Diceros bicornis minor: one gene and its partner. The protein of the gene in region 1 interacts with the protein of each later gene in a biochemical or structural test. Links are inferred from orthologs where the notes say so. Each region holds a gene or a part of one and is shown in the gene's direction. Other genes may lie near its edges. The genes, in order: DSG1 and PKP1.

What was found.
Region 2: the proteins of DSG1 (region 1) and PKP1 form a complex in vitro, tested with the Homo sapiens proteins (2 studies listed by BioGRID and IntAct). The link is inferred for Diceros bicornis minor from reciprocal best matches to the Homo sapiens genes DSG1 and PKP1.

Annotation. Positions count from the first base shown.
Region 1 is NC_080755.1:25,925,503-25,940,502, forward strand, and holds the start of DSG1 (desmoglein-1), read left to right. Parts: upstream 1-7,777; 5' UTR 7,778-7,781; coding exon 7,782-7,829; intron 7,830-15,000. UniProt on the Homo sapiens protein: Component of intercellular desmosome junctions. Involved in the interaction of plaque proteins and intermediate filaments mediating cell-cell adhesion.
Region 2 is NC_080777.1:29,559,161-29,574,511, forward strand, and holds the start of PKP1 (plakophilin-1), read left to right. Parts: upstream 1-7,254; 5' UTR 7,255-7,493; coding exon 7,494-7,695; intron 7,696-15,351. UniProt on the Homo sapiens protein: A component of desmosome cell-cell junctions which are required for positive regulation of cellular adhesion.

The DNA of each region.
Region 1 (15,000 bases):
CAGCTTGTCCCAGTATTGGCAGTGCTTAGTTTGATCAATTGATGAGAGACGATGCCTGGTTTTCAAACAAAACTTCACTCAATAGTATTAACACCCATTGGTGACCTTTACTGGAATCAGTTATTACGTCACTGGGTACGATATTAAAAGTTTCTAATTTTACTATTTTTTTCTATATTTATTAGCTAGCTATATAGCTAGCTCTTCTAAAAAGAAGAGCTTAGTCTCCATCAGCACCCTTTTGAGGAACACTGTGGACACATGTATTCTTTTTTATTCAATGTGTCATAGCTCATTAGCATCATTATCCTTTTTGATGATTTTTGCTTCAAAGACACTGAAACTATGATGCTACAGGAGAAGTCTTTGTTATTAGGAGATACAGACAGTAGTATTTAGGAATGAAGTGTCATGATATATGCAACTTACTTTCAAATTATTCAAAATATACCCCCAAAAAGTATGTGTACATAAAGAGAGAGTTAATGTGGCAAAATGTTAAGAAATTGTAAATCTGGATGGAGATTTGAATTTTTTTAAGTAGAAAAAGAGAAAAACAAAGCATAAACAAAATGTTAAAAACTGATCAGTTCTTACAGCAAAACCTCAGATAGATTCCTTTTTCTTCCATTGCACCTAATTTCAAAAGGAAGGAGGTGTTTCCCTCCATCCCCCATCACCCTATTCCTCCACCCACATCGAATCTGCCATCTGGTACTGTCTATTTTACCTCCATCACACTTCTATCTCCTTTTTCCTTCCCACTGAAACCACACTATTTCAGGTTCATTACCTAAAAAATAATGGTGGCCTCCAAATTCATCTTTCTCTCTCAACTGTCTCTTCTCTATCCATACATCACAAAGCTTCCAGGACAAATTCCTAAAGCACAACTTTGACTAGGTCCATAGCTTGCTGGAAATTCCACAGGGGTTCTTTGTCTGCCATAGAATATCATCCAAATTCCTCAGCAGGGCATTCAAAGTCCTCCACATTCTATTAACTCACTAGCCCTGCTACCTCTCACAAACAGTACACTCAGGTCCAAACTGATTCCTTTTTTGGCCTGATAAACACATATTCCTTTCTGCCTTCTTTCCCATCTATACCTTCATTTGTTGAGAGTGTAGTCATCCCGAAAATTTCAAAATCTACCTCTTCCGTGACATGTTCTCCAATTCCCTTAATGTGGAAATTATTTCCCTTTTGCAGGGTTCATAAAACGCTATAGGCCTTTCCTATAGCACATACATCAATGTGCCTTGTAGTAGAGACAGGCCTCATCACTCCTTTGAGATCAGGTTAAGATTATAGCTTTCTTAAAGACAGAAACTTCTATTACCTATTTTTATCTCTCCTGACAAATAGCACATACCCCAGCAGGGCTCAAAAAATGTTGATGGTACTGAAATTTGAAAACCGCAGTCCATAACGGTTTCTGAAAATGATCTTTTTACCTGCTTATCGACTATACACACACCCCTAAATGGAAAATATTCTAGACAAATATCATTCAATATATTACCCTGAAACATATTGGTATCATCTTCAAATATGAAGATGTCTTCAAATATGAAAGACAATGGTAGAAAATCTTAAGACTGTGGAGGTGATTGCTTCTTATTTCCACCAGAGACAGTAAATCACCGAGAGACATAAATTTGTCACTGAGCGGTTGCAATATAAAGACCTTTTGATCTGGGAGGAAATATGGAGTTATTGTGATTTCTTGAGGAGATGCATGACATAAGGAAAGCAATGTTTCAGAAACATTATTCTGGAAAATGACTATAAAGTGGATTAAAAGAGAAGAGTGCAGAGGTGCAATTAGAAGAGTGGCACAGCAATGCCAGGTGAAGAGGGCCTGGAGAGGATGGATCCACAGCAGCAGAAATGAAGACAGAGGGGGCCGGCCCGGTGGTGTAGTGGTTAAGTTTGCGCACTCCACTTCAACAGCCCAGGGTTCACAGGTTTGCAGGTTCAGATCCTGGGCACAGACCTATGCACTGCTCATCAAGCCATGCTATGGCAGGCATCCCACATATAAAACAGAGGACGATGGGCACAGATGTTAGCTCAGGACCAATCTTCCTCAGCAAAAAGAGGAAGATTGGCAGCGGATGTTAGCTCAGGGCTAATCTTCCTAACCAAAAAATGAAGATAAATTTGAAAGCACAACATGAGTTGACTTAGGTAAGCTACAAAGAAAAGAAGAAAACAAGCGTTTTAGAAATCAATTCTATTATGTCATAAAAGTGTTCCCTTTAACATTATAAGATTTCTCTGACATCACCTCCGACAAAACTGGGCTATGGGTTCCCAAGCACTCTATGCAGGCTTCCATTTAGCAGGTTGGAAAAAAAGTCTGTTCTTTCTCATTCCAGCTAGCCTGGAGCCACTTGAAGGCAAGGACCGTGGTGTATCCACCTTTGTAACTCCAGTACCTGGTAAAGGGCAAGGCATATAGTAGGCCAAAGAAAAAACTGGTGTAGTACTGAATTGATGATAATTTATTATAAGTAAAAGGAAGGACTGAATTTGCAGATGAAATCCAAAGAGTACACTGGGGTGTTGGCTAATACACACAGACGTGTGAGTAGGACAGTCTTCCAGAAGGGAGTAGTAATACTTCTATTTCAGTATGTTTGCAGCTACAATGTAACCTCTTTAAGGGCTGAGTTCAAAAGTATTTTGAATGTTCCACAGCACCTAGCAGAATAATGCACCTGCAGTAGATGCTCAATTAGAATTATTTTTTAATTTTTTAAAAGAACAGACAATAATAATTTAGTCTCTTTCATCACTCTTATTTTATCATAAAATATTTAAGTATTAAGATAGAATCCAAGGTTCCCAAAATCATTTAAGATTTTCCCCTACTCATGAATATTCTTTCTATGTAGAGAAAAGTACATACAGTTGTGATGCTGTTGAACTGTCAATCTAGAATTGACTAGAGAAAAATAAAATTAAAGTTTTCCTTAGATCTGGTTTAAAAGAAAGGAAAAAGAGTTAGGCCATAGATTAATCCAGCCAATTAAACAAAGTCTTTCTGAAAATATAAAACTAAAAATATAATTTGATTATAAAGATGTATCTTTCCCTCAGTGATTAATTGCTTTAATTTTATGGGTTACTTTTAGTCATCATGATTTCTGTTCACACTCTTTAGATCAATCTTGTAGACTCTCCTAAGATCAACTAATTTACTATTACAAACTATAATCTATTCATCTAATGCAGAGGTCAGCATACTTTTTCTGTAAAGGGCCAGATAAGTAATTATTTTAGGCTTTGCAGGCCACGTGGTCTCTGTCGTAACTACTCAGCTCTGCTGTTGTAGAGAGGAAGTAGCCATAGACAATACATAAGCAAATGAGTATGGTTGTGTTCCAGTAAAATAACAAAAAATGCAGTGGGCCATATTTGGCCCATGGCTATAATTTGCCAACCCCTACTTTAGTCCATTATTTTAAATTTCATTAAGAAAATTCTTACATATACAGAAAAGCAAAGAGAAAACCATATACTATCAGACTTAACAATTGTTAACATTTTGCCTTATGTACTTCATCTATTTTATTGCTGAGTTACCATAAAGAAAATTTCTGTCACCATGAGATTTTGCCCCTACATATTTTGACATGTATCTTCAAAAAGAAAGACATATTATGGGGCCGGCCCCGTGGCATAGCGGTTAAGTTTGCACATTCTGATTCGGTGGCACTGGGTTCACAGGTTAGGATCCCAGGGGCGGACCGATGCACTGCTTGTCAAGCCATGGTATGGCGGCGTCCCATATAAAATAGAGGAAAATGGGCACGGATGTTAGCCCAGGGCCAATCTTCCTCAGGGAAAAGAGGAAGATTGGCAATGGATGTTAGCTCAGGGCTAATCTTCCTCACCAAAAAGAAAAGACATATTACTATGTAACATAATAAAATTGATAATAATTCCCTAACAGCCCATATTTAAATTTCTCCAAATAACCCCAAAATTATTTCTATTGCTGTTTTGTTTAAATCAGGAATCCAGTTAAGGATCAGGCATTGCATCTGATTGTTATATATTAAAGGAAAAGTGTCTTTTAATCTAAAACAGCAGCCTCCATCCCCTCCACTTTTTTATGTGACTCATTGAGGAATAGTCTGATTTTAAACAGTGTGAGCAAGATCTAGAATCAATACATGCCATAGGAACACTAATATAGAAGCAAAGACAAAAATTTTTGTTTATATTATCCTTAACATATTTACTTCAATTTCTTCTCTATTTTAGGATTTACTTTTATGTTTTATTTATTTTTTAAAGAATTTGCAGCGCTGATTATGGTAATTTCAACAGAGATATGAAACCAGAGATTCACATATAACATAAAAGCTTATTTCAAAGGATTTCTCTGAAATATGAGAGTCTAGGCTGTGGGTGCTGTGTAAATGAAGGAATATAGAATAGTCAGTTATCTTAATTAGGCTTAAAAAATTCTAGATCAGTGGAATCCACCACCTTTAGTGAAAGATGCTGATTATTTTGTCTTTCAAGAAGATATTACAGTATCCCAAGCTGTACACAAATATAGAAATATAGACACTGGGGGTGACATTCTAGAGTTTACAGTGCCTTATGAGAGAGAGGAAAATCCTTTCTCAGGGGAGTTTTGATCCTTTTGAGAAAATTTCAGCTTACCAGGGAACTTCCAAACAGAAAAATCAACCCAAATTTCATAAAATTTCCACGAAATGAGAACTGTTGGTAATACGTGGAGGTACACACACGAAACAATGTTCAGAGAAGAAACAGAGTGCAGTGATACCAGATAGAAGAAGCAACCTTGTATAGCACAGTGATGCGACAGTGTGGTGTGAGGTTACAGATTAGGTGGCTGGAAGAAAGAATTGAGAAAATGTAAATATAGAAATGAGAGGGGTTTGTGTTGCCCATGTTTTAAAATAACTCATGGGCATTAGGACAGAGGATCAGTAAGGTGTCAGGAAAAGGCACTGGGCCAACTGAGATAATAGGAGTACATAAAGGAAAGAGACTCAAAAGGTGCCAGCTGGAAACTGGAACAAAGCTCGAGTTCCCTCAGTTGAGAAATGGAACAGGATAGATTTAATTAAAGGGAGTTGAATTTATAAAGAACAGAAGGAGTTAAGGCGCAGAAAAAGATAGAAGATAATAAAAGCACTGTGCAATATGGTAATCACTGGTCAAATGTAGTTATTTAAATTTAAATTAACTAAAATTAAATAAAGTTAAAAATTCTGTTCCTCAGCCATATTAGTAGTCAATTCTCAATAGCCACATATGGTTAGTGGCTACCATATTGGAAAACACAAATAGAGAACATTTCCACATTTCAGAACAGGACAATAAAATGATTAAGAAAGAGAAAAAGGCAAGAAAAGAGGTTAAGAAGAAAGAATGGTGATTCATAAACTCCATTTCCCACTTGTGCTTAATGTCACTAGTTCTCATGTGACAGTCAAGACAGCCACTGCTCTGCAACATTGGGATTCTGCCACACCTCCTCTCCAGAAACGTGCTGGAGAAGTTGCTGACTAAGGAATGCTCTAGTTGGTTAGGATGGTTGGAGCAGGCCATTGAGTTAGGGGTGGAACCAAGGTCAGGCTTGAGGAAGAGTCATTCAATGGATGAAGAGGGCCTGTGCACACCCTAGCGCCATACCTAGAACTCAAGGGGGATAAACATTCACTTGCCACTGGAAAGCTCCAAGAGTAGGTTCTTTCATCTCTGGTGCCCAATGAGTCTTCAGTCATTCACAGTCATACAATCTTATACTAATATATTGCTCAAAATAAGTCATAGGATCACACTCACATTCTGTCTTACTTGACTCATGAGAAATTTGGCCTGACCATCTCCTTTTGTTTTACTTATTCACATCAACCAATTCCTATCATAAGCATTCTTATTCATTGCAAGTAAATATAGGCAGCCTATCTACTTCCCTCTAACCTCCATTATGTACGGCGTGAAATTTCAAACTACTGTTGAGTAACCTTTGCCACACACCTGTAGTAAAATGACAGCATTCTGTAGAACCTCTGACCTTCAGAGATATCCTTCCTTTCTGGGTCATTTTAAGCATCCTTTTGACCATAATCAACCTCTTATCAGATTGGTCTCTTATTCCAGACTGCCATTTCCAACTCCATAGACTTCCTGCCACTCACAATATTTATACCAGACATTGCCAAGTGAAGAGATGATATCCCAAGAACACTTTCAAATGCTGCCTTGTAAGAGTCACTATTTATTTTCACAAACCTCAGGGCTGCTCAGTTTGTCATTTGCATGTGTGGGCAGCCATCTCTTCAGTGTGTTCCCCATGTTCTAATTGGCTCACTATCCAGATTCTTGGCTCTGTACTTGGGAATTGTCATTGACTTTTAACCCACCTCACCTGAAGAGCAGCTTTCTGGTTTCCATTAGTATTTCAGGCATTGATCCTCATTTTAAAAACTATTAACAGGATTTTAATTGGTGGTTTTGATTGTTTACTTTTCATCTGGCTTGGTGATATTTTAAATTTTGTTTTACTGATTTTGCAAAGAGCAGAACTTTAAAGAGAGAAAAATAATTGGGGAGAGAAGATACTCATTTAGAGAAGTAGAGGCTTCCCTGGTCTTAGGCTGATCACTTAAAGGGAATCGTGACTTGTACAGAGGACCTTATAATTGTAAGTATCATAGTTTTGCTTGTTTGAATTAATGCTATATACACAATGGATACTACTCAGCCATAAGAAACGATGAAATCCAGCCATTTGTGACATCATGGATGGACATTGAGGGTATAATGCAAAGTGAAATAAGTCAGAGGGAGAAGGTCAAATACTGTATGATTTCCTTCATTAAGTAGTAGATAATAACAACAATAAACAAACATAGGGACAGAGATTGGATTGGTGGTTACCAGAGGGGAAGGGGGGAGGGAGGAGGGTGAAAGGGATAATTCGGTACATGTGTGTGGTGATGGGTTGTAATTAGTATTTTGGTGGTGAACATGATGTAATCTATGCAGAAATAGAAGTACAATGATGTACACCTGAAATTTTTACAATGTTATAAACCAATGTTACTGCAATAAACAAAAAATTAAAAAAAATAAAAATAAAAATAAAAAAATAAAAAAAATCCTCACTCTTAACATTAGCAAATTTTCTGTCTCTTAAACAACTTCGAAAATAACTGACTAGTTCCTAACATCCACTGAAATGGAAAGTTTGTAATTTTCTACTGTGACCTGAGGGTCTGGCTCTGAGCATGGGCGGGAGAATCCCCTTTGAATAATATAAGCCTGACTACACTTGCCTTTTTAATATGGGAAGAAGCCAAACAACCTGTAAAAAAAGCATAAGGTGAAAAGTCCTTATCAATTGCGTAAGTCCCCATAATTCTGATCATTTTAAATGCCTGTCACTGAAAACCTTCTGTAAAGGAGTGAATCTTTCAGGACCCACAGAGAGCTGCCTTTCAGCTGGAAGGGTGTGTCCTTAAGCTTTTACCTGGGAGCAATGATGATCTTGTCAAGCATTTTAGTGAGACCAGCCCAAGTTTTTAGGGTGGGGATCTAGACTGGTTATACGTACCTTCAGTCCTTCTCCCAGAGAAGGCAGAAACACCTCAAAGCCTGCATGTAAGAACATCTACTGAGAAATTATTTTAATCAGACACCAGCTGAGTGGGGGAAAGAAAAAGAACAGAGAAGAACAAACAAAACTCCCTTGGTCTTGGATGTAAGAGAACTCGGCAGCGATGGACTGGCACTTCTTCAGAACAGCGGCAGTGCTGTTCGTTTTCTTGGTAAGTGGAGTCTGTTAAAAACCCTTCATAATCATTCACATTGTAAACAAGTGAGAACTTTTTAGAAAATGTTATTTAGTGTTATTTCTAGCCTAAACCCATTAAAAGTTTATGTTAATGATGAGGTGATTTTATGAACTAGATTTTTAAATAGTGTTTCTCTCTTTAATTGAAGACTCGAGATCATATTAATGCGTCAGTGTTAACTCATCGTATCACATCTCTGACATGGAAGTCATTGCTAAGTCATGCCAGGAAAATATTGAATTAAGAAAAGTCGTATCACTGCTTAACGGCACTTTGATTTTCAAATTCTTTTTTGCAGATGGGCTTTTAAACTAATAATATCACAGGTGTGTCCTGATTTTTAACCTAACCAATTTTCCATTCTTTTGTTATCTTTGCTGGTAGATTTGCTGTAATTTTTAAAACATAAAAATAGTATCCGTATAAATTAAAATCATAGCAGTTTGTGACTGGCCTCACTATCCAAACAATCTCATCGGTTCCATATGTAGTTGAGAGCCATATCACTAATATCGAAAGTCCCACATTGCTAAACTCTGATTTTAATTAAAACAACATTTTTTTATTTCAAATAAAATGGTGGTATGGGAGATTTATAAATGATATAGTAGGTGAAGGAATGGCTATGACTAAGGAGTAAGTATAATTATTAAGATACTGGCTCTTACTACCGGAAAATCAGTAACGATGGTGATACAAATATCAAGTTGTACATTTGATGGTGAGACAAATGTAATGAAATGCTTTCTCATTGTCCCCCTTGTACGTCATTAGTTTTGTCTTTTTAGAGATAATACTAAGTGCAACACCACTGTGTTGCATCAATTTCACTTGTGTTGAAAATTTTTAAATCGTAGTCTCTCGCACAGCAAGGTTAATGTAATCTTTGGAGGCAAGTGCCTGTTAATCGCTCTCCAATTTGGCAGGATGTAGTGCTGTGGTTTATATTTGTTTCTACATGCTTAATTTTTGAACTGGATTGTTGAGTTTCTGTAATAACAAGTTAGATCTTCTTTGATTCAAGGTATGCTGGTTAGTTTGAATTCAGTTTATTAATTGAGAGAGGTCATAACCAGTAGGTTTAGTTATAAATAAGCATCAATAAGCTGGTAGCTTTAGTTCCAGGCTGTCCTTCAAACATTAGCCCTGTTCCATGGACTTTTTAATGGATCTTTAGGATCAGTTGATATCATAACTGGGGATGTGGCAGGGATTCATGAGCATTATACAGCACATCATTTGAACATAGGAGCATTTGTGTATTACGAAATAATCAAATACTTTTATTTTTAATTTCATATAAATTTGATCCATTAAGGCCTATTATAGTTACAATTGATTAAAGTTTATTCAGATGCTTATGTACTTTCACTGAATCTATAAAATACTTTATTTCTTTATTCTATTATTATTTCCAATTAATTACATCCCATAAAATTCCTTTAAACAGCCACTTTCTAATTAATCATTCTTCAGTAAAATATATCATTTTTTCAAAATCATGCATCCTCATTGAAACGTCTCTTTTTGTATAAAGGTTTCTGGGCATTTGTACTTTATTTTCCAAGTCTGGATATATTTTTTGTTTGTGGATTGTTTGTTGCCATATTTTACTCTGGAATCAATGGCAAGTTTCTCATACGCCTTATGAAAATTATTTCTCAAAGAACTTATTTTATTATAAATTAAAATGTTTCATTTTCACATTATTGTAACTTTTGTTGTAAAGCATTTTACTTTCTGAGGTTTGGAAAATAATAATTTATTTTTACTACTGATTTTACCAGATGATTTGAATAAATATCCTTTGGAGTCATCTGATCTATTTTTGCTTTAAAATACTTTTTTTTATTCTGAAAATTAACCACCACTAGAGCAAACTCTCCCACTTACCTTTCTGCTAGCCTTACTATGAATGTTTGCTTTAAAAAAAAAGAAAAAAAATCTGTGTAAAGTCTTTATATTCTTCTCTGCTCAAAGTGAAAATCTACATTAGGGAATATATTTGGACAATCTTGAAGACTTTTAAGACATTTAAACAGGTAGTGTCTTTATTAATGCAAATCCATTTGCAAGATGGGCAGCCATCTATTTACAAGTATGTTACGTGGTCTGCTGAATACACCTGAAGGTTTTAGACCTTGTTCAAATTAGTGAGTTAAATCAGGGAGAATAAGGCTGAAGAATCTGCTCTGACAGCAACCAAGATTGCCACATGACTATTCCATTATTTAGACAAGTGTCCTGGATAGACAATAGTTTACACCTCTTATAACATTGCAAGACAAATAAATATTATTGATTCTGCATTTCTTTTTCTTTTTTCTTTTTTTTTTTGTTTGTTTCCATGAAATTGGTATATGGGATGGGGAGGGGTTAGAGTGTATTCTAGGCCAGAGAACAATGTTACCTATGCACCAAATATAAGAAATCTCTGTAGATGGTTGTGACAATGGTATAAGGTATGCCCTAGTCATGGTAGGAAAGCAAAATACGACCAGTAGAATTTTTATAGTTCTATTGATTTCTAAAAATTACTTGCAACTTTGCCAGATCTATTAGTCAACTCAAATAAATACAAATCTCAATGTATCTTTTTCTATTAAGGCCAACTTCTGCAGCTTACACTCAAAGAACAAATAAACCTATCCTTATCTATTACCAAGAATGATCCAATTTCTTTAGTTCATCATACCAGCCTAGCTTTTCTTTTTTCCACGATTAATATTTCCTTTCCAAAAAAACCCCTCTGACCACCTGATAAACTAACTCCACGATTTGAACTTAGCTGAAATTATTTAGGCTATAGGCAGGAGTTTTTCAGAGTATTTCTCAGCACTCTGGCTAAAATACATAGAAAATAAAATATACTTTATTTCATAGTGCACTCACTTATTTGAACCGGACATCTTAATTCTCATAATTGTGTTCACTGATTCCTAAAGCAAGGAAGGACTAGCAAACTAGTACAGACCAAACAGAAGACAAGCAAAAGAGAGGATGTTTTATGCCTTCTTGTGCACATATTATAGTGACATATATGACAAATATTAGCATCTCAGTAAAATATTTTATAGAAAATGGAAGAGTATTTCTGTTTACCTGTTCAGTAGAATTTATAAATTGTATTTAAGCAAAATCATTTCCATTTATATGGTATTCTTAAAAGCTTTATTATTTCACTGCAGATTTAGAATCAGCATCTTCTTTCACCTTTGTGAAAATAGGGAGTTCAAATTTATCATTATTTAATTGGTTTGAGTTGCCACAGAGGAAAAACAATTTGCCATGCCTGATTTAGGTTATAGAAAAACCTAAAGCACTGGGAAATGCTGTCTGGATAAATCTGAAGGCTTGGCCCCTAAGAGACAAGATTCCCTTATTTAGCAAGGCTCAGGAATCAAGAAAAATGACACTTGTCTATACCTGGAGCATTTAATTTCAGATAACTCTTTCTCCACTATACATTCTTCAAGGACTTTGGTGCTGAGTATCCCTGTGTCCTGACAGGCGTTGCCTAACACAAAAGCTGGAAGCATGCTCGGCAATGCAGTTAGATTTATGATGCTCCCTTCAATGAGGGATCAGGGAATACCCTTACGGAATGCTGGGTCTACCACCCTTGCTGGTTCTGCTTGGCATGCAAATTCCTTTAATGGACTTAGGCAGGTCAAACTTTTTTAAATGCCATTGGCTGCTGATCCAGGCTCTCGACTGGTCTATAAGAATAGAGTGCAGCCTTATACACTTGTCTAATGAAAAACCGTATCTCCACAAATTAATGGCTGCCTGTTGCTCATAAAACTACTTAACTATAAGTTATATGCGGGCAGGTTCTGTGTCTGATTCACTTTTGAATCCTTCATAGTGCCTTACACAAATGCAAGATTGCTCAATAGACATCTAATCAAACAAAGTAGAGGCATCCGAGGAGAATTTTTGGATAGTTTATATTTCTTCTTCCCCACACACTCCAAAAAATAATCAAGGTATTAAACATGGAAATAATAATGTTGAATTTCCCTAACATTTATTTTTATGGTGTAGCATTACATTTACTTTACATTTTATCTAAGGCTTACCATAATACTTTTGGGGCTTAAGCCCTTTAAAAGTCTTCATCCAGTGTTGGATCCACATAATACACATTAGATATGTATTTGTCAAATGAACAAACAAACTAATGAACAAATAAGAGAAATCACCCTATCAAGGTGCTGTCAACTCCAGACTGATAGCTTTTGTCCAAGTAATATAAAGGAAAGACAAAAGAGGAAGTTTCTTAAAAAAAGCAAACTATTATATTTTAGCTTTGTCTCAAGTTCGTCTTTGTGTTGCATATAACAGTTAAATACATTAGAATTTGATGCCTAACAAAAACTGCCAAGTGACTGTGGAAGATCACCTCACAATTATTAAATGCAAGAGTTTTTCCTTATAAAAATTACCACTTTTAAAACAATTTTTATTATATGCAAAGAAATATAAACCTCAATATCAAGAGAAAAAAAGCTAAAAATAAAAAAACTAACAAGTATAGTTAGAGAATCATTGAAATTAGCATGAAATTTTGTGTCCTGTGGCTTTTTTTTTTTCCTTTTTTAATATGAGGATCAGTTCCTAAAATAGAGATGAAGGGAGGACTCATTGAGGATATACTTCAAGTAAATTATTCACTGCTTTCTTAGAATTTTTAGATTAGAAAGGGCTTTAGTCTCAAATACAGATGAGGAATTGGAGGCACAGAATGGCTATGTGGCTTACCCCAATGCCCATATGTGGTGAGCAACAGAGCTGAGATGTACTCAGTCAGCTTGACAACCCCTGTATTATCTCTAAGTGAATCTCCATCACAGCCTCCACAACATATATTCCCAACTTATTTCAGAATCCAAACTACTCCCTTAATTGCCAGAAAATAACCTTACCCTTACTCTAGAGCAAGGTCTAGATAATGAAGGACAATGTCCTTCAACCTCCCTGTGATAATCGATTGATTTTAATCTCCATCCTTCCTCTCTCCCTTCCCTTCTGCCTTCAAAGTCCTTTCTTTCTGCTTATTCCCTCCTGCTCTCTCCATCACAACACCTCCATCAAGTACTTTCTTTCTGAACCTCTTCTCTTTCAAATCAAAATCTCCTGCTTTCCTCTTTCTCCACCTTCAAAAATCCACATTTCCCTCTCCCAAAATATTTCCTTGGACACTACATCTAATTCTACTATCACATCTTTCTGTTTCCTTTTATCACCAAATTTCTTGAAAAAGCGACCATCTGGATGTACTCTTCCTCTTCATCTTATTACTCTATCCCTTTCAGTCAGGAAGGGCCTGTTCCACCCAACTGAAAGCATTTTCCTGAAGGTCACAGAAAACCTCAGAATCTCCGCAGGATTCACTCTGCTCAATATTTTTATAACATCTGACATCTGTTCACACCCCACCTTTCAATTCTCTCTCCCTTTGGCATCCATGACATTGCATTATATTTTCCTCCTGTTTCTCTGGGCACTTCTTTTCTATCTCTTTTTTTCTTTCTTGTTTATTGTCATTGTTCCCAGTTATGTAAATGTAAGAATTCCCCTAGTTTCATTCTCAACCACAGGCCATTTCTTTGCTGTATTTTCTACTTAGGGATTTCAAATTCTCCCATGATTTCAACTACCCTACCTGAGCAGATGTCCCTCAAATCTATATATCAGGCCTGAACTATTATTCATCATGCTGACACATAGTTCAAATTGCTGATTATCTTTACCTGGGCGTTTCCCTGGCATCTCAAACTCGATGTGTTCTAACCTGCTAAATTCTGCTACTGCCTTGCTCCCAATCTCCCAGTTGAAAACTGCCATCACCTGAGATTCTTCCCTCTCTTGACTCCCACATCCCGTTTGTTCTGAAGCCTTGTCAATTTCAACCGCATAGTCTCTCTCCCTTGATCTTTCCTGGTCTGTTCCCACTGTCACCGCTCTGGTTCAGCGCCTCCTCATCTCTGGCTTACCCCAATGCCCATATCCAGTGAGCAACAGAGCTGAGATGTGCTCAATTCGATGCAGAAGACTCGACTGCTCAGTGGCCTGTAATCGCTGCCTCTTCTCACTACTCCTATCTATTGTTGTCCGAGTAACCTTTTAAACCCACAATTTTATCATGCCTTTCCCACGATCAAAAAAAATCAATATTTTCCTACTGCACACAGAGATTTGATGTTAGAAGTGGAAAGGTAACTATATAATTTAGTCTGCAACTGTCATTTTACAAATGAGAAAAACCTGAGAGAATTGAGGAAGTACATTGAAAGTTTTCTGACTCTATCAAGTGTTATTTTTATCTCATTATTTTGGCCTTAAAAGTCCAAGAGTGACTGTTTTAGATTTTATTCTAGACTCTGAGCAAAAGACAATAAGGTTATGACAACACAACATAAATTTAAGCAGACTTGGCAGTTTTTTAATTACTAACCCAATTGAGAGCCTGACACTATGGTGAAAGCTATTTGGTCTTCTGCCTACGTTGCCTCTCATGGGAAAAAGAACGAGCCAGCTTCATGAAGTTGGAAGGTTTCTTAGTCATCCAGCATAGTTCAAAACAAACAGCAGCCGCCGACACTGCAGTGTGGTAAGGAAAGTGCAAGACAAACAATAGATGCATGCACAATTCTGTAGCTATGAAGAAATGGCTTCCAAACAGACAAACACACTCCCACTCACACCCACAAACAAATGAGAGAAAAAAGTACTCATGAGTTCACAAGTAGCAAGGAGTACACATTTGCATTAACACCATTTCAACTCTGTGCCCAAGAGGGACTCTACAATAACATTTCCATTACTTGTCCAAACCATGTGAACCATTTACTTTTCTTTTTTCCCTTAGTATTACTATTATTGCTGTTGTTATTATTGTATATAAACATTTCTAACCATAAGGATAATATGAGATTAGATTAAAATCAGAATGTTTTTGAATTCTCAAAGTTGTAATATCAATTCTTTTCAGTATATTTTTCTTAGTAATTTACTTGGGATAGACTATCTTATACTTTATTGTAAAACTCACACCTCTAGCACATATTTAGGATGAATTGTGTTAGATTGTATTTAGCCATAAATTAATATATAAACCTCAATTTCCTCATCTGTAAAA
Region 2 (15,351 bases), on another chromosome or scaffold:
TGGGGCAATGCAGACAGGCAGCTCTGCCACTCAGCATATTCTTGGCGTCTTGGCTCCCCACCAGTGCCCATCGTGGCCTGGCGGGCTGCCGGCCCAGCAGCTCTGAGTAGAACCACCGCCGGGGTGCCAGCTATCCTGGGTGTGACTGCTCTGTCTGCAGGTGACTCATCCAATTACCATCTAGGCTGTGCAGGGCTGGGACCGGGGCTGGGCAGGTGACTGTGAGACAGAGGGAGAGAGTGCAGGGCCTGCTCAGCTCTCGGGCACACGCCCCAAGCGTCTGCCAGTTTTGCGGCTTCCACAGCCTCTCCCTGGGCTCTGCTCCACCTCCCAGGGCTGGCGATTCTTCCAGCATGGGGCAGCAGAACAGCCCCTCCAGGAAGGGCCTTCTGGGCTCCTCTCCTGCCTTGGTACCCCTTTAAGTCTCAGGCTTGTCATCCAGTCTCCCACCCTCAATCTCCCCCAAAGGGAGAGGGGCCCGTGTGCCCATGGTGGGGGAGGCAGGTCCCAGGCACCCAGGCCTTTGCAAGGCCACGTCACTGTGCCTCTCTGCACTCAGCTGCCTCTTGTGACAAATTAAGGGGCTAGACCAGATGGTCCCTGAGGTCCCCTCCGCCTCTGAGGTTCGAAAGTGTCCAAGGGCAGTGATGACAGAGCCACCCTGTAGACAACAAGGACAACAGTGCGGGGCCAGGCCAGGAGGAGAGGCGGGGCAGCGGGAGAGAGGAGGAATGCTGGAGGCTCTGAGATGCAGGAGAGACGCACGTGGAGAACTGGGCCTGGATAACGGCGTCAAGCAGTGAGGCAGGCAGAGCAGAGGGCAGTCGGATGGGAGGCAGGAGGAGCTGCGGCAGGAGGGAGAGTTCTGTGTGTTATTAAGCTCCCATCGTGTACCAGCCCTGTGCCTGACATTTAATGTGTTTTCTATGTATTTACGATCACGAGAACCCTGTGGGGCAGGTGTAGCACACCCAATGTTACAAAGGAGGAAACTGAGGGACAGAGAAGTTAAGGGGCTTGTTCAAGGTCGCACAGCCTACAGTGGCAAAGCCAGGGTGTGCAAACCTGGTCGGTTCACTCAAAGCCCTGTTCTTGTTTTCCAGGCCACCTCCCTGGGAAGGCCCTGGGGTCTATGCTCCAGTGGCTTTTGGTCCCCCAGAGAGCTGTGGGGCCCCCAGGATGCTGTGGCTGGGGCTCAGGCCTGGAGCCCTAGTCCCCCCCGGGGTTTGCCAAACAGCACTGCTGCAGGGGAGGGGCAGATGGGAAGGCCGGTCTGGTCTGCCAGCCTCGGGAGGACAGAGCTGGAATCTGGGGCTGGCAGGGCGCGGGCGCAGACCAGAGCTAGTGCTGACAGCAGCTGGGCTGGGTCGCTGGCTGTTATTCATCACCTTCCCTCCCTCCCTCCATGGCCACCACCCCACCCACACTGCCCAGAGAGACCAGAATGGCAGCTCAGAGAGTTCTGGCGTTTCGGGGAGCCCGTGGTGCACACCCTGCCTCTCCCCTCAGCTGGCCTGGCTCAGCCCGCCTGGGACACATCCAGGCCCGGCTCTCGGGGCCTGTGCACCCGACCCCGCGGCTCTCGCTCCTCCCCCTGCCAGCCCTTCCACCTCATCTCCTTCCAGAGCAGAGCAGGGCTGGAACACAAGGGCACAGGCCAGCCCTCTAGTCCTGCCCTCACGGATGGGGGATCCATGGTCACATGCTCACATCTTCCAATCAGGGTGTCGCCAAATGGCTTGGGGAGTGGCCTCTGCTCTGCCATTTTCCCTTCCCCGTCACAGCTGGAAGCCTCCACCCTCCGTACCTTCCAGACACAATGGCCCTGTACAATGGACCTCAGAGTGAGGGGGTGGCCTCACTTCAACAAAATAAACATTTACCCAGCACCCAATGCGTACCAGTAATGTGGACGGTCGGAAAGTAAACAGCATACGTCCCTCCCTCAGGCTGCTCAAGGTCATGTAGACGTGTGACGGTGGTGGCGTAGGGCCAGGGCTCTAACACAGGTAGAAAACAGTGACACGGGGTCCCAGGCGAGGGGCTGAGTTTAGTCTGGGAATTGCTGAGCAAGTATAAATAGGATTGACATGTCGACAAGCAGCAGGAAGGCAGGGGTAGGGGTGTCTTGTCACCTCTATTTAAGTCCTCTCAAGGGAACTTCACTCCTCTTAGAACAAAATTCAAGCCCCAGACAGAGGTCCAGAAGATCCCGTGGGATCCTGTGCTGTCCTGTATAGTGGCCACTGGTGACTTGGCTCTTGAGCATTTGAAATGTGGCTGGTGGGTCTGAGGAACTGAATTTCTTATTTCACTTAATTCTAACTGATTGAAATAGCCAGCACATGCAGAACATTTCCATGATCACAAGAGGCTGTACAGGACAGTGCAGCCCACCTGCCTCTGTGTCCACCGTGTGTGCACCACCCCCCTACCCTGTACCCAGGCCATGCTGGTCTGTCGGTTCCGAGGACAGGCCAGGCTCTTGGCCTTCACACTCGCTGTCTCCTCTGCCTGGAGCACCTGCCCCCACCCCTGATGGGCAGCTACTGCTGGAGTTCCAGGTCCCAGTTGTCGGCCCTCTCTGACCACGTGGTGAACGTCGCCCCCCTGTATTCTCCATCAGCCTCTCACTGGCTTCCTTCACGGCACTGAGTATAATTTTGCTAGCTCATTTACAAGTTTACTCTGTCCACCCCCTTAGAACGTAAGCCTTGTGAGAGCAGGACCCAGGCTTTTCTCCTGTTTATCCCCAGGGACTGGCACAGCATGTAGCCCATTTAGGCACTCGGGACATACTTACGTGTCTGACCCAGAGTGCTCACGTGGAGGGAATAGCGTGTGCACAAAGGTGCAGAGGCAGGCATCCGCTCAGGGCGGGCCGCTGAGGGCTAATAGGGAAAATGATAAGGGAGGCTAGTTAAAGATTGGGGAAGGGGCACTGGGGTTCATCAGGAGAGGTTATAATGTTAAGGAGTTGGGCAGCCATTGAGGAGCCTGCTAGCTGACCAAAGGAACTCAGCTAGAAAAGGCTGGAGAGCAGGGAGCTGGCCCCATGGCTGCTGCCCGGGAAGCCCTCAGGTGCCTGGAACAGGGGTAGAGGCAGAAGGATGGGGCTGAATAAGGTGGGGTCATAAAGGAAGGTTACCTCTCCCAGCTCCTTGGGGGTGTCTGCATCACTTTGGGGTTCAGGTGGAGGTGGTCCCCTCACCTTGGGGGCTGGAAACTGAGCAAGGAGAAGCTTCAGCCCGATCACTCCTAAAGGCAGCAGGAGCCCAAACCCTCCTCTCAGCCGTCAGTCCTCCCACCTGGCCCAGCATCCCCTCCTCCCCATCTCTATAAGGGCACTGCATCCTCGGTGCCTAGGACAGGGCCTAGCTCAGAGCCGACACTCAGTAAATGCTTGTTGAATAAATGAACCCCCATTCCGCTTCTAGTGCACCTCGAGGTCACCGGACATTTTACTGCCATGAGCACTGCAAGCCTGGAGTGTTGAGTGACATCTGGTCACGGTTAATGCTGCAGGGCCAGCAGCAAAGAGAATCGGAGCCCGGCTCACACTCACCCATTCCGATGTCTTTGAGGATGAAAATCTACTCATCTTGTTTCAGAAGCAAGTCAAGGTTAACTTTGTCCAGGAAGCTTTCCCCAGACCACCTCCACCCTCTAAATGCAAATTAACCCACACTCATTGGAATTTTCCATCATCTAAATCATGTTCTGAGAGTCACCTGAAGGCATGCTGTTTCAGAGCTCAGCTGCCACGAGCCTTGTGGCATCTCTTCTGCACTTTCAGAGGGTCACCCTCCTCTCTGGCCCTTTTCTGAGGCAGGGGCCCCCAGGCGGGGCTCAGGTGGAAGAGAGAGGTGATGGAGAAGTCCTGGATTTATGCTCACGACAATGCACTTGACCCCAAACCAACCTCCCGGCCTGAATACACCTTACTCACCTGGGCCCAGAATTGGTCACTCCATGCCCCTCCCTTTCCTTCCCAGTGGGAAGCCAGACCTCAGCTCAAATCTGTCTTCACCGCTGACTTACCCTTTCCAAGTGTGTCTCCTTGTCTGCAAAATAATAGCTTCTCGGGGTGTTTGGGAGGATTAGATAAAATAACGTCTGCAAAGTGGGCCTGCTGCTGGGCACAGCGCGACTCTGTGGGGTGGGCACCCCTCTGTCCTTTCCAGGCTTCCCTTCACTTTGGCGTTGGGGGAGGAGGGACAAACAGAATGTTGTCCGGAGGACCTGCTTCTAGATCATCTGCTCTGAAAATCCCATAATTGACATCAAATTCTGGGGGGTTAGGGCCAGAGAGGATTTGGGGAGCTATCAGAGCCACCTCCTCTCTTCACAGATTTGGCACAGGGGACAGAGGAGGGGACTTGTCTAACATCATAAAGCTAGTTAGCGACACAACTGGAACCGGAACCCAGGTGGCCTGACTTTCCTGACAAGTGACAGAAACGGATGCTGTTAAAGGATGATCCATGGAAGGCTCTGAGCCACTGCTTGTCACAGGGAAATCACGAGGAGGCAGCCTGGCACCTCGCTGAGTGCCCGGTCTCCAGGTCCAGGCTGCTTGTGCTCGGCCCTGTCTCTGTCACTTACCAGCTCTGTGACCTCGCTGAGCCTCAGTTTCCTGAAAAAGAAAGATGATGGCACTGGTACCCACCTCCGAGGATCATTGTACGGATTTGATGAGATGGTCTACATAAACGGCCCAGGGCCGTGCCTGGCTTGTAGTTGTGGTGCTCATAGGACACCAGCAAATGTTTGCTATTGCTACCAACATATAAAAATACTGTCAATATCAAGATAATAGAGAAGCATCTAGAAAAACCTAACTTCATCTCTGGAAACAATTTTAAAGATAATCAGTTTCAGCTTCCAGGGACTAAGTATGGCTTTTTATAGCAACATGAGATACCCCAATTACCTCCTTCAGAGCCCTTCTACATCCTAAAGGTAAAATTGTCATTATTTAAAGACATAATTAACATTTATTGTAGCTAGCATGTTAGGTCTTAGATAGGCCAGATGTGCAATACAATGGAGTGTATTTTTAGTGCTGTCATAAACACTTTATAGCATATTGGGGCCCTACGTAATGGGTATGCACTGCACTTTAATGCCCACTTTATAGGACTTTTATAGGGAGGCTGGCTAGTGTGGAGGGAAGAGCACTGGCCCAGGAGTCATCCAGCCAGATTAGAATGGAGGCTTCGCCACGTATTAGCTGCGTGACCGCGCACAAGCTACCTCCTCTCCTCATCAGAAAAACGCAGAGGCTGGCTGAGTGATGTGCAAGGCTCTGTCCAGCCCGGACAGTCTGTGGCTGGAAGCAGAATCTTAACATTCTAAGTGATGATAGAAGTTTAGGGGTGTTGAACTTTTGTACTTATGACATATTGCTGATCACATCTCTGGTTTATTTGATGCTAAGTTCCTAGGAACACAACCCTCAATTATAAAACTATTTCTATTGGAAACTATGATCTGCTTTATAATATTCTGCTCTGAATGTGGCTAAAAGGAATGCATCATGGAGAAAAGCTGGGGCTCCCTGCATATAACACTCCCTTCTCAGGAGGGGGGCAAGTGACCTTCGTGTGGTCCCTGAGACTGTCACTCAGGCTTCTCCACCCTTCCTCACATAATGTCTGTTGGTCCATCCTCTGCGTATCGGAAAGGCAAACTAGCAGTGACATGTGTGGGCTGTGAGTGGTGACTACAGATGACAGTGGAAGTGACGCTGTGGAAGCATACCACAGCTGGAGGAGACCCAAAGACTGAGGAGCTGGCCGGACCACACTGTCACGCAGTTCAGTGATGGATGTCCAGAAAGGGAACTCTGAATCATCAAGAAGTGCATAAAATATGTTTGGGACCTTTTGCTTACGGAGGAAAGGCAGAGAGTGATGTCTTTTAGCAAGATTTCCATCAACATAGTTTTAGAAATACTCAGCTCCTGTTACACACCAAATTCCCTGGTGTGGGCCACTCCATGCCTGAGGGTGATGCTGCGTGAGCGAAGCATCACAACACAAGTATCCCCTCCCGGTGGGAGGGGGCTATGGGAGAACACACACACACAAGTCCTAAAATACTAAGTCTGCAGTGGGGTAGTTTTACGGGCTAGGCCACCTTCCAGTTTTTCACGCAGGATATGGGTAGGATGCAAGTTAGACTTAATTTACCTTAAATTAGCTAGCTTTCACTCATTCTTCCACTCAGAAATATTTTTCATTGAACTCCTAATATGTGCCAGAGCCAGCCCTGGTGGTCTCGTGGTTAAGATTTAGCACTCTCACCGCCGCAGCCCAGGTTCATGTCCCAGTCAGGGAAACAACTCCCCATCTGTGGGTTGTCATACTGTGGTGGCTATGTGTGGCTGTGATGCTGAAAGCTGTGCCACTGTGATTTCAAATACCAGCAGAGTCGCCCATGGTGGACAGGTTTCAGCAGAGCTTCCAGATTAAGACCTGGCCACTCACTTCTGAAAAAATTGGCCATGAAAACCCTGTGAATAGCAGTGGAGCATTGTCTGATATGGCGCCAGAAGGGGAGAAAATGGTGTGAAAAGACCAGGCAGGGTCCCACTCTGCTGTCCACAGGGTCACTAGGAGTTGAATCAACTCAATGGGCACTAACTTAAAAACGTACATGCCAGGCACCTGTTTTAGGGGCTAAGTCCGGAGTTTCAGAGAGGATCCACTGTACACAGGCATTTTCCCCTGGCATAGCCATGCATGACAGGTGTGCTGCTTGTGGTTTTCTGTCTCAAGTCCGTCCTTGGTGTGCACTTCATGCCCCCACCCCACTCCCTGTAGGTTGGAGGGTGACTTAGAGTAAATACGTGGTCCCCATAAGATAGAACACTTCCTTTGGACAGGGGCTGTGCTTCGGCCGTCAGCCTGGGAGCCCCCACAGACAGGGCTGGTCTCTGCCATGACCCCGGGGCAGAGGGGGACGGGCATCTGGCTGTCCTGGGCCCAGTGGAGAAAGACTTCTTTTTCCTAGAGAGAGAGGTCTCCCTCGGCTCCCGAGTGGATCACATACTTTCTCCTGAGCAAGCAGGAACAGGACTGAGGGGCGTCTCCCGCGGCCTCACCTACTGCAAGTCGTGGGGAGAGGGAAGGGAGAGAAAGGAAGAGAGTAGGCGGAGGCCAGCCGTCCCACCCCCGGGATTCGCGGCCCTGCCCCCAGGAGCGCTCGCGCCCGCAGCGGCAGGCCCTGCAGCCCGCGCCTGAGCGGAGGGGTGGTGCAGGGCAGGGCGGTATATCCAGTCTGACGGAGGGCAGGCCGCGCCAGTGCAGCAGAGGGACGAGCCAGGGCGGAGGCGCCAGCAGCAGCACCCGGGACTTCGCGCGGACCACTCACTCTATGGCCATAGGGAGCCGCTGACAGCTCCCATAACCCACTCCGCGCCGCCCGCCAGCCGCACCGCACCCCACGCCGCCCCACTCGCCCCGGCCCGCCCGCGCGCCTCCGCCACTATGAACCACTCGCCGCTCAAGACCGCCTTGGCCTACGAATGCTTCCAGGACCAGGACAACTCGACACTGGCCCTGCCGTCGGACCAAAAGATGAAGACTGGCACGTCGGGCAGGCAGCGCGTGCAGGAGCAGGTGATGATGACCGTCAAGAGGCAGAAGTCCAAGTCTTCCCAGTCGTCCACCCTGAGCCACTCCAACCGAGGTAAAGGCTCCGTGCGCCCCTCCCTGGCGCGCCACGGCCGGCGGCGGGCACCGCGGGGCGCGCGTCCCGGGGCTGCAGGGAGGCGAGGGGATGCCGGCCCCAGGCAGGGTGTGCGCGAAGGTCCGACCAGTGGGGCCGCGGCCCCCGACCCGCGCGCGGGCTCCAAGAGCTCAGGGCGCGCCAGTGGGCGCGAAGGCTGGCTCGCCGCGGGGATCCACCTCCAGGAGCGTTCCTCCTGCGCGCCGGGAGACTGAGCTTCTCCCGCGAGCCGTTCTCCTGGCTCAGGGCTTTCTCTCCCTGATCCTGCTCAGGCAACAGCCTCCACATGCTGTCCTGTCCCCGGTCTCCTGGGGGCCGCGACGCAGGGCTCGCCCAGTGGCCACCCACACCCGCCCCATCTTTCCTGGGCTCCGAGTTCCACTGCGCCTTCAGCAGGCAGCTGGCGCCCAGTCCAGGTGGGGCCAGAGCGTGGTTGCCGCCCGGGAGGGAGTCACTGAGACAGGGGTGAGGCTCAGGGCCGTGCTGCAGGACCGGGAGGTCGGGCATGGAGCAGGACAAGCCCTTGGAACTCTGCAGCACGTTAGCGGGGAGCCTCACACCTGGAAGAGGCAGATCCGGCTGGAAGGTCACCCCAGGGCAGATGCGCCCCCTGAGGATAGGGAAGGGGCCCAGGGATGCCCTCTCTCCCCAGTGGCTAACGCGGAGATTCGGTTTCCCAGGTTCTCCCTTCTCCTCTCACCTTAAGTGGGAACAAGTGTCTTCAGAGACAGCAGAGAATGAGATTGGCAGCATTGGGAATCCCACTAGGATCCAGTGCTGAGCCCTTGTGGTGGGCACTTGTGCAATGTTGGTGCCAGGCGTGACCACCATCCCCATCCCACAGTTAGGTCCCCGACTAGGGAGGCTAGGAGAAAGGGACAGGACACCGAAACTTAAGGAGGAAGGTACAATATCCAACAGGGGCATTTGTGGAGAATTTTTAGACCAAATACTTTAATACAAAGGCTTCCCAGTAAGAATTGCACACAAATTAGTGAACCTTCTGTTTATTTATTTAGCTAAATTTAGTAAAATGTTAAGAAAGGCTCTGCAGACGGCAAACCAGTACAGGTCAACCGAGATTTATTGATGAAGTCCAGCCCTCATGAAAGTGTGGCGGTAGAAAGGAGGAAGGAGACACAGGAGATGGACCCCTGCCCATTCCCCCACCATGCACACTCACACACACACCAGCTCACACTTTCTACCTCTGGCTACTTGTCTGTCTGTCTGTCTCTCTCTCTCTGTCTCTGACTCTCTCTCTGTCTCTCTCTGTCTCTCGTCCCTGAGTGGCCCCTGTGGAGAGCTGAGGGAGAGAAAATGGCTGGCTCAGGACTGCCCTGCACCCTGGTCCTGAAGCTCTTTGCACCTCTGTGTGCCTTTGCCCTGGTCCGGGCTTGTGGTCCCTCTCCTGCCAGGCTTCCACTCAAGGTCACGCAGCCTCCAGGCCATTTGCCTCCTTCCCTCGTATTCCGTGCCTTGGTAGCTGCTTATTGGCATTTTTTGGAAGTTTGAGTTGACAAAGTGCCCCCATTTCTGGCCACAGCCCAGTCACAGCTCAAGCTAGCCCACTGTTGTCTCTGCACAAGACTTACCTGTCCCTTCCCACTCCATCCCAGGCGTGAGCTCTGGGCTCACAGCTCCAGAAAAATCTCAAACCAGCCCCAGGTGCCCCAAACACTACTTCTCCCCCGGACTTGTGGGGATGCCATCGTCATGGGGTGCTCTGTTTCTGGCCCTGCCCTTTGTGCATGACAGCCGTGTGTGAGTGTCCTTCCCTTCCTCTCCATTGTCCACCACAGGCTCCTCCAAGGGCTTCCACCAGGCGAGGGCTGACTCTGAAGGCTAATGCAGACCTCTCCAGAAATGGGGTTTTCCCAGGACTAACCCTGTAGGTGTGGCCCCTCTACCCTCAGCTCAGGCGAGGTTCCCACCCTGCCAGTTTCCCCAGAGGCATCCTAGCTGGGAGAGGTGGTTAGGTCACTGGGAGTTGGTGTTTCTGGTTTGTCTGGCTTTGTTTTCATCAGATTCCGCTCCTCTTTATCAGAACCACCCAAGCACTCCCTCGGCTCCCCCTTTCTCGTGCTGGTTGATATCCCACGCACCTGCTCTGGTTCCTGGGATGGGTGAGTGGGAAGCTGTGGAAGGGCTATACCCCAGGCCGTTCCCCTCGGCCCCCTGGATGGACTCTAATTCTCCTTCAGGCTCCTCCAAGAGAGAAGAGTCGGATTCTCTGGGGTCTTTGATTCCTGGGCCCTGAATCCCGTCCAGGGCCTTCTAATTAAGATCTCCTGTCCCAAAGAAGGTCAGCCACACTCCACAGGTTGCCTGGCAGAGTAGCTGCTACTCCTCGTACCCCGTGAAGGACAGTCAGGAATCGGCCACCTGAGGTCCTCAGAGACCACCCCACTAGGGTCTTCTTCCGTGTTGTCAGCGAGGGGGCGTTGAGCCACCCAAGGGCTGGAGGAAGGAGCCCTGTGGAAGGAGCCTGGCACTGAATGCTCGTCTCACCCATGTCTTCCCTAAAACTCAGCAGATGAGACGGATGCCTCATCTTGGTCAGGCAGTCCCCAGGGAGGGAGGGGGTCTTGGGGGTCTGGAGACCCCACAGAAGGAGGCTGCTCTGACCCTGCCTTCCCATCTGGATCTGTTCCAGAACTGTCCCCTAAGTATTGCCCCCGTGTTTCCAGAGGGTCCCTGTGTGCATCAGGGTGTCATCTCAGACTGTGTGGGGAGCAGGAGGGAACCCAGGGGGATGGGCTGCTCAGCCAAAGATCTTTGCTGGGGTCGCTCGGCTCCCGAAGGGTGGGAAAGTCCCTGCGGGGCTCATGAGCTGCCCTGTAGGGGGTAAAGGGCTGTCGCACCAGGTGTCCAGCCTAAAGGGAAACCCTTCTCCACAGTCAGGCTCTTCATAACTTCACCTGGAGTCCCTTCCCAAAGCTTCCCTCAAATCTCATCTGATCCCATCCTCCCCTGTCCCCGCTGATACACTAAGTTTAATGAGATCAGCGTCCTTCCTCCTATCTCTGCTCAATCCAGGGAAATCTCGTCCCTCCTGGCCTCACTGTGGTCTTCATCTTCAGCCTTGGCCTGAAGTCTTCCTCCTCCCTTCTTCTCAGCAGTACCCTTTCCTTATGAAAGTGACCAAGCCCGTGTTTCTCCCTGGTCAGAGGTAGGGGTGGGGGCACACTGGGCTGGGGCAGGTGCTTCTGGTCCCTCACGGGCACACGTGGCTCGAGGCCCCGGGGGCAGCTGGTGCTGGCTGTGCCCGTGCACAGGTGATGTCCCGCCTGAGGCCCCACCTGTGCCGGTCCCTCTGTGTCTGCGGGCTGTCTCAGCAGGAGCCTGCGCCTGCGCGGGGCTCTGCTCTGCTCTCCTTCCCGCCTGCATCCGGGAGCAGACAGCACTTCTGGGTTGTTTTCTTGGGACCAGAGCTGGGAGGGCAATGGTAAAGGTGTTCGTGCTTTACCTTGTCCCAGCAGCGAAACGTACCAATTAAACTGCCGATGAACAGGTTCTTGTTTCTTTACAATGTATCTTGGCTTGAAGCTGAGGTTTTAGCCAGAATTTCCGTTGGCCTGTTACAACACGTGCAAAAATGTCGAGTATTCCAGGCTGTTCCACAGCAAATGCCGTTTCCCTGGATCCCGCTCCTTTGCAAAGCTCATTGGCAGAGATTTTTAAAAAAATGCTCTCCTCACACACCAAACTGTAATTATCAATAAGCCAATTGTTCTAGGTTGAAAAATCTGGGAACTATATCTACAGTGGGGTAGGAGCCCTAGAAGGTGTGTAATATTTGAACAAAATAAAAGAGCATGTTAGCAACCCTCATGTGGAGTTCTTTGTAGGCACACACATATACACACGTGCCCACACCCAGGCACACGTGTCCGCACACATGCATGCACACACCCCACCTTGCAGCTTGTGCTGTGGCAGGAGTCCAGCCTGGTGTCAGGAGACTCGAGTTCTGTCTGGGTCCAGTGCCTGCTGGCGTGTGATCTGGGCAAGTCGCTGCCTCTCCCTGCGTCTCTGCAAGCGTAAGACGTCGATTAGATCATCTCCCAGGTGCTCGGTGGTGGGAACGCTCTCTGGAAATAGATTGTATAACCCCACCTCTGCGATCCGGGCCCCAAACCTGCAGATCTCACAGTCCCTTGGGACGCATCGCCCCAGTTTCCCTCGTGTAAACATCCTAATCCACCAAAAACATCTTCCGAGCCGCTGTTCTCAAACTCGGTCACGCAGTAGAATCATCTGGGAATTTAAAAAATGCAAATGCCTGGATCCCGCCCCCGGAGGTTCTGACTTAATGTGGGGGACAGCGTGGGCACCAGGGCTTTCCAAGGCTGCCAGCCATTCTAGTCCCCGTCCTTCACTCACACATGGACCCAGTGTGAGGATCACTGTAGTGTGCACACATCTCTCACACGCACACACACGTGTGTGCACACACGGACGGGCATCTGGTGTAGTCGCTGCTGGTGATGATTTTCTGCTCTGGACCCCACTGGGTGACTGAGTCCTCTCTGGCCCTGTCCACACTAACCCACTGCCCGGGCCCCCCAGGGTGCTCTCACCTTCTGCCCAGTCCTTAGTTTTGATGGTGACTGCGAACAGATTATCAGAAAGGGCACAGGCTCTGGCAGAGCTGGGCTGGAACACGGCCAGGCAGAGCCCGAGGCAGTCACATGTGCTGAGGGAGAAGAGGAGGCGGCCCGAGCAGCCCAGTTTGTTTCGGCATTTCTGTTCTGTGTACGTGCCCAGGAAAGGGGCAAGCGCCGCCCCAAAGTGCCTAGTGAGGCTGTGCTGAACTCCTGCCCCCTTGGGCTCGTGGAAGCTCCAGGACAGGGGAGGCACATTCCTGGTCTCCCAGCTGGCCTGGGCAGAGGGGAACAGGAGGATGTCGGCTTTTCTCCTCCCTCCGCGCACCTCAGCCATCCCACAGACACAGCTCCTGCCACCCCCCGAACATCTCAGAGGTAGATTGTCTCAGAAGTGTCTTCTGGCAGTTCTTCTCATTATCTCACTTGAATTCCTCCTGCTGTGGGCCTAGCCTTACTGGACAACACACGGGAAAGAGATTTCAGGGAGTGAAGTAAAGGCATTTTCAGGGCTGTAAGATAATGAGTTTCCTCTCTCCACCTTTTTGTGCTGAGGAAGAGATGGGCTTTATGTAAGTGTAGAAGAAGCTAGAAGAGACATCAGCCTACAGGAGACAGATTCAGCAATAGAGAAACCTCTCGGGCAGCTTGCCCTCTGACAGGTCCTCCTGACTAGCAAGGGAGAGGGATCTGGGGGGAGGGTGGGGTGGAGGAGAGGGCCTTCAGATGACCTCTGCCCCAAGGGCAGCCTGTCGGTCAGGCAGGCCCATATCCTGAGGGTCTTCTCCCTGTAGAACTGGGGTCAAGAGTGGGGTGGGGATCCAGACGACCCCTTTCTTCAGAGAGTTCCCAGTCTGACTGGGGAGATCCAGGTCCTGCTTTCTGGGAGAAGGGCACATGGGCGTGTACACACGCACACACACAGAGTGTACAGAAGCCACACTCAAGGAACACACCAGCCAGCACAGAGTGCATTGAGCCGCTGGACAGAGTGCTGACGAGGCTGTGCTGGGGGGTTCGGAGCGCCTGGAGCTGGGTGGGGTCATCTCTGGGAGAAGCTGCTCTTTGTGCAAGGTTTTGAATTCGGGGAGAGGGTTTGGCTGAGAAGAAGAGTGAGAATGTTTCAGGTGTGGTGGGTGTGACCTCTTTGAACCCTTGGGGGTGGAAGAGGATGAGTCACCTCTGCAGAGGTTTGCCTGTCCTCGTTGGAGAGCGAATTCCATGTCTCTTAACAAAGGAGCTGCCTTGTCCATTTTCAAAGCTTTCGTACGTGAGGAAGCTTGGGCTGCCCTATGACACAAGAGAGAATTGGGCATCGTCTGAGACACCAAAGGGAAGCAGCATCCAGGGACGCTGATCATCCAAGTGGTAGAGTTTCTGAGATGGGTTTACACCCTGAAACACTGGCACAGGATGAGACAGGCTGTGTGGACAGAGCGGCTGGTGTTGCTTGTATACTAGAGAAAGCAGCGTACTTTCTGAGACATTTGCTCTTTGACCTTGGGGTTTTGTGGATGGGCAGACGCCTCCCGGGGGCTATGCAGAAGTTGGGCTGGCAGCCAGGTTCACTGAGAAGCCGCCATCCTTTGCTCACGGCCTTCGCACCCTTCTGGAGAGGACAGTGGGATGCAGATGCTCAGCTGGGACGGTGCGGGTAATTCTGTGGGGGGAGCTGGGTGCTGGGATCATCTGCCCTTCCCACCCCTGGACCAAGAACCCTCCTCAAGGTGGCGGCCTTGGGTGTTCTAGAGCCGCACTCAGCTCCTCTCTCTTCCTGGTTGACCCAATGCACCAGGGACTTTTTCAGGTGGGAGGAGGGCCTGATTGAGTGAAGTTCAAGGACCCGTGTCCTGTTCTACATTTACGGGGCCATTGAGCCTCGAGGCACAGGCATCACAGAACCTTCACAGAGAAGGTTGGGCAGGGGAGAACTGGTCAACAAAAAGGGCCAGAGAGCCCAGTCCAGCCGAGCAGTGCCCTGTGCCCAGGACCCTGGGGAGAGAAGAGTCATGATTCTCACATGGGGGAGCACCCGAAGCCCGAGCTGGCAGAGCCTGGCATATACATGATGGAGAACCGACTGCAGCTGGCCGTGCCCTATGCGGAGAAGACCCGCAGCACACTGGGACCCAGCCCAGCTCACCAGGACAGGCTTCCTGGAAGTGAGTTCCAGACAAGCCAGGGATCAGGTGGAGAGGAGAAAGCTGTCAGGGCTATCACCATTACTCTCACTGAGAAGCCCCGGGTTCTTGCTAAACTTCACTTTCAGAGGGTAGCATTTACCAGCCAGACACCCCAGGGTCAGGAGAGGGAAAAATCGCCTTTGTGGTAGGAGCAGAGCTCCCCTCCCACCTGCACCCCTTTGGTTATCTGGCACACTGCAAGGGGTGCCTTCAAGTGTGTCCCATCTGTGGACTCCGCCCCTCCTGCACACCCTTGGCCCCAGGTGCAGCTACCTTTTGCCAGAGAAGCAGTGCTCGCTGGTGTGATGGCAGCCTCATTCTCACAAGAAGCCATGCAAAGCAGCTTAAGGTGGGGATCGGGCAGTCTGAACCCCAATTGCAGATGGATCTTAGGGGGTGCCTTCAGGAGCTGCCTGGAAGGGCCTGGAAGCCTTGGCCAACCAGGAGAGTTACAGCCCACACCTGTCATCATCAGAGTCACCACTGGACATAGGGACTGGCTTTTGGAATTATAGAGCATTCCAGAATTCATCTTGTTCACTCCTTGCCTCCATGGCAGAGAACTCCCCACCTGTCACACGGAGAAGAGGGTGTGAGAGGGAGGCGGGCAGGCGCGGGGCGTGGAGGGAGGAGATGCTTCATCTGATGACCGAGAGGGTGAGTGACATCACTGCTGACAGATTCCCTCTTGAGAAAGGGTGGAGGCCCCGTGGGAGCTTGCCATCCCCAGAGCCTCCTGGGGTCGCCTCTCCTCACAGGAGGCCTCCCTGGGGCTCCCAAAACACTGTGTGTGTCACCACCCCATATTTTCCGTCTGAAAGCAGCTG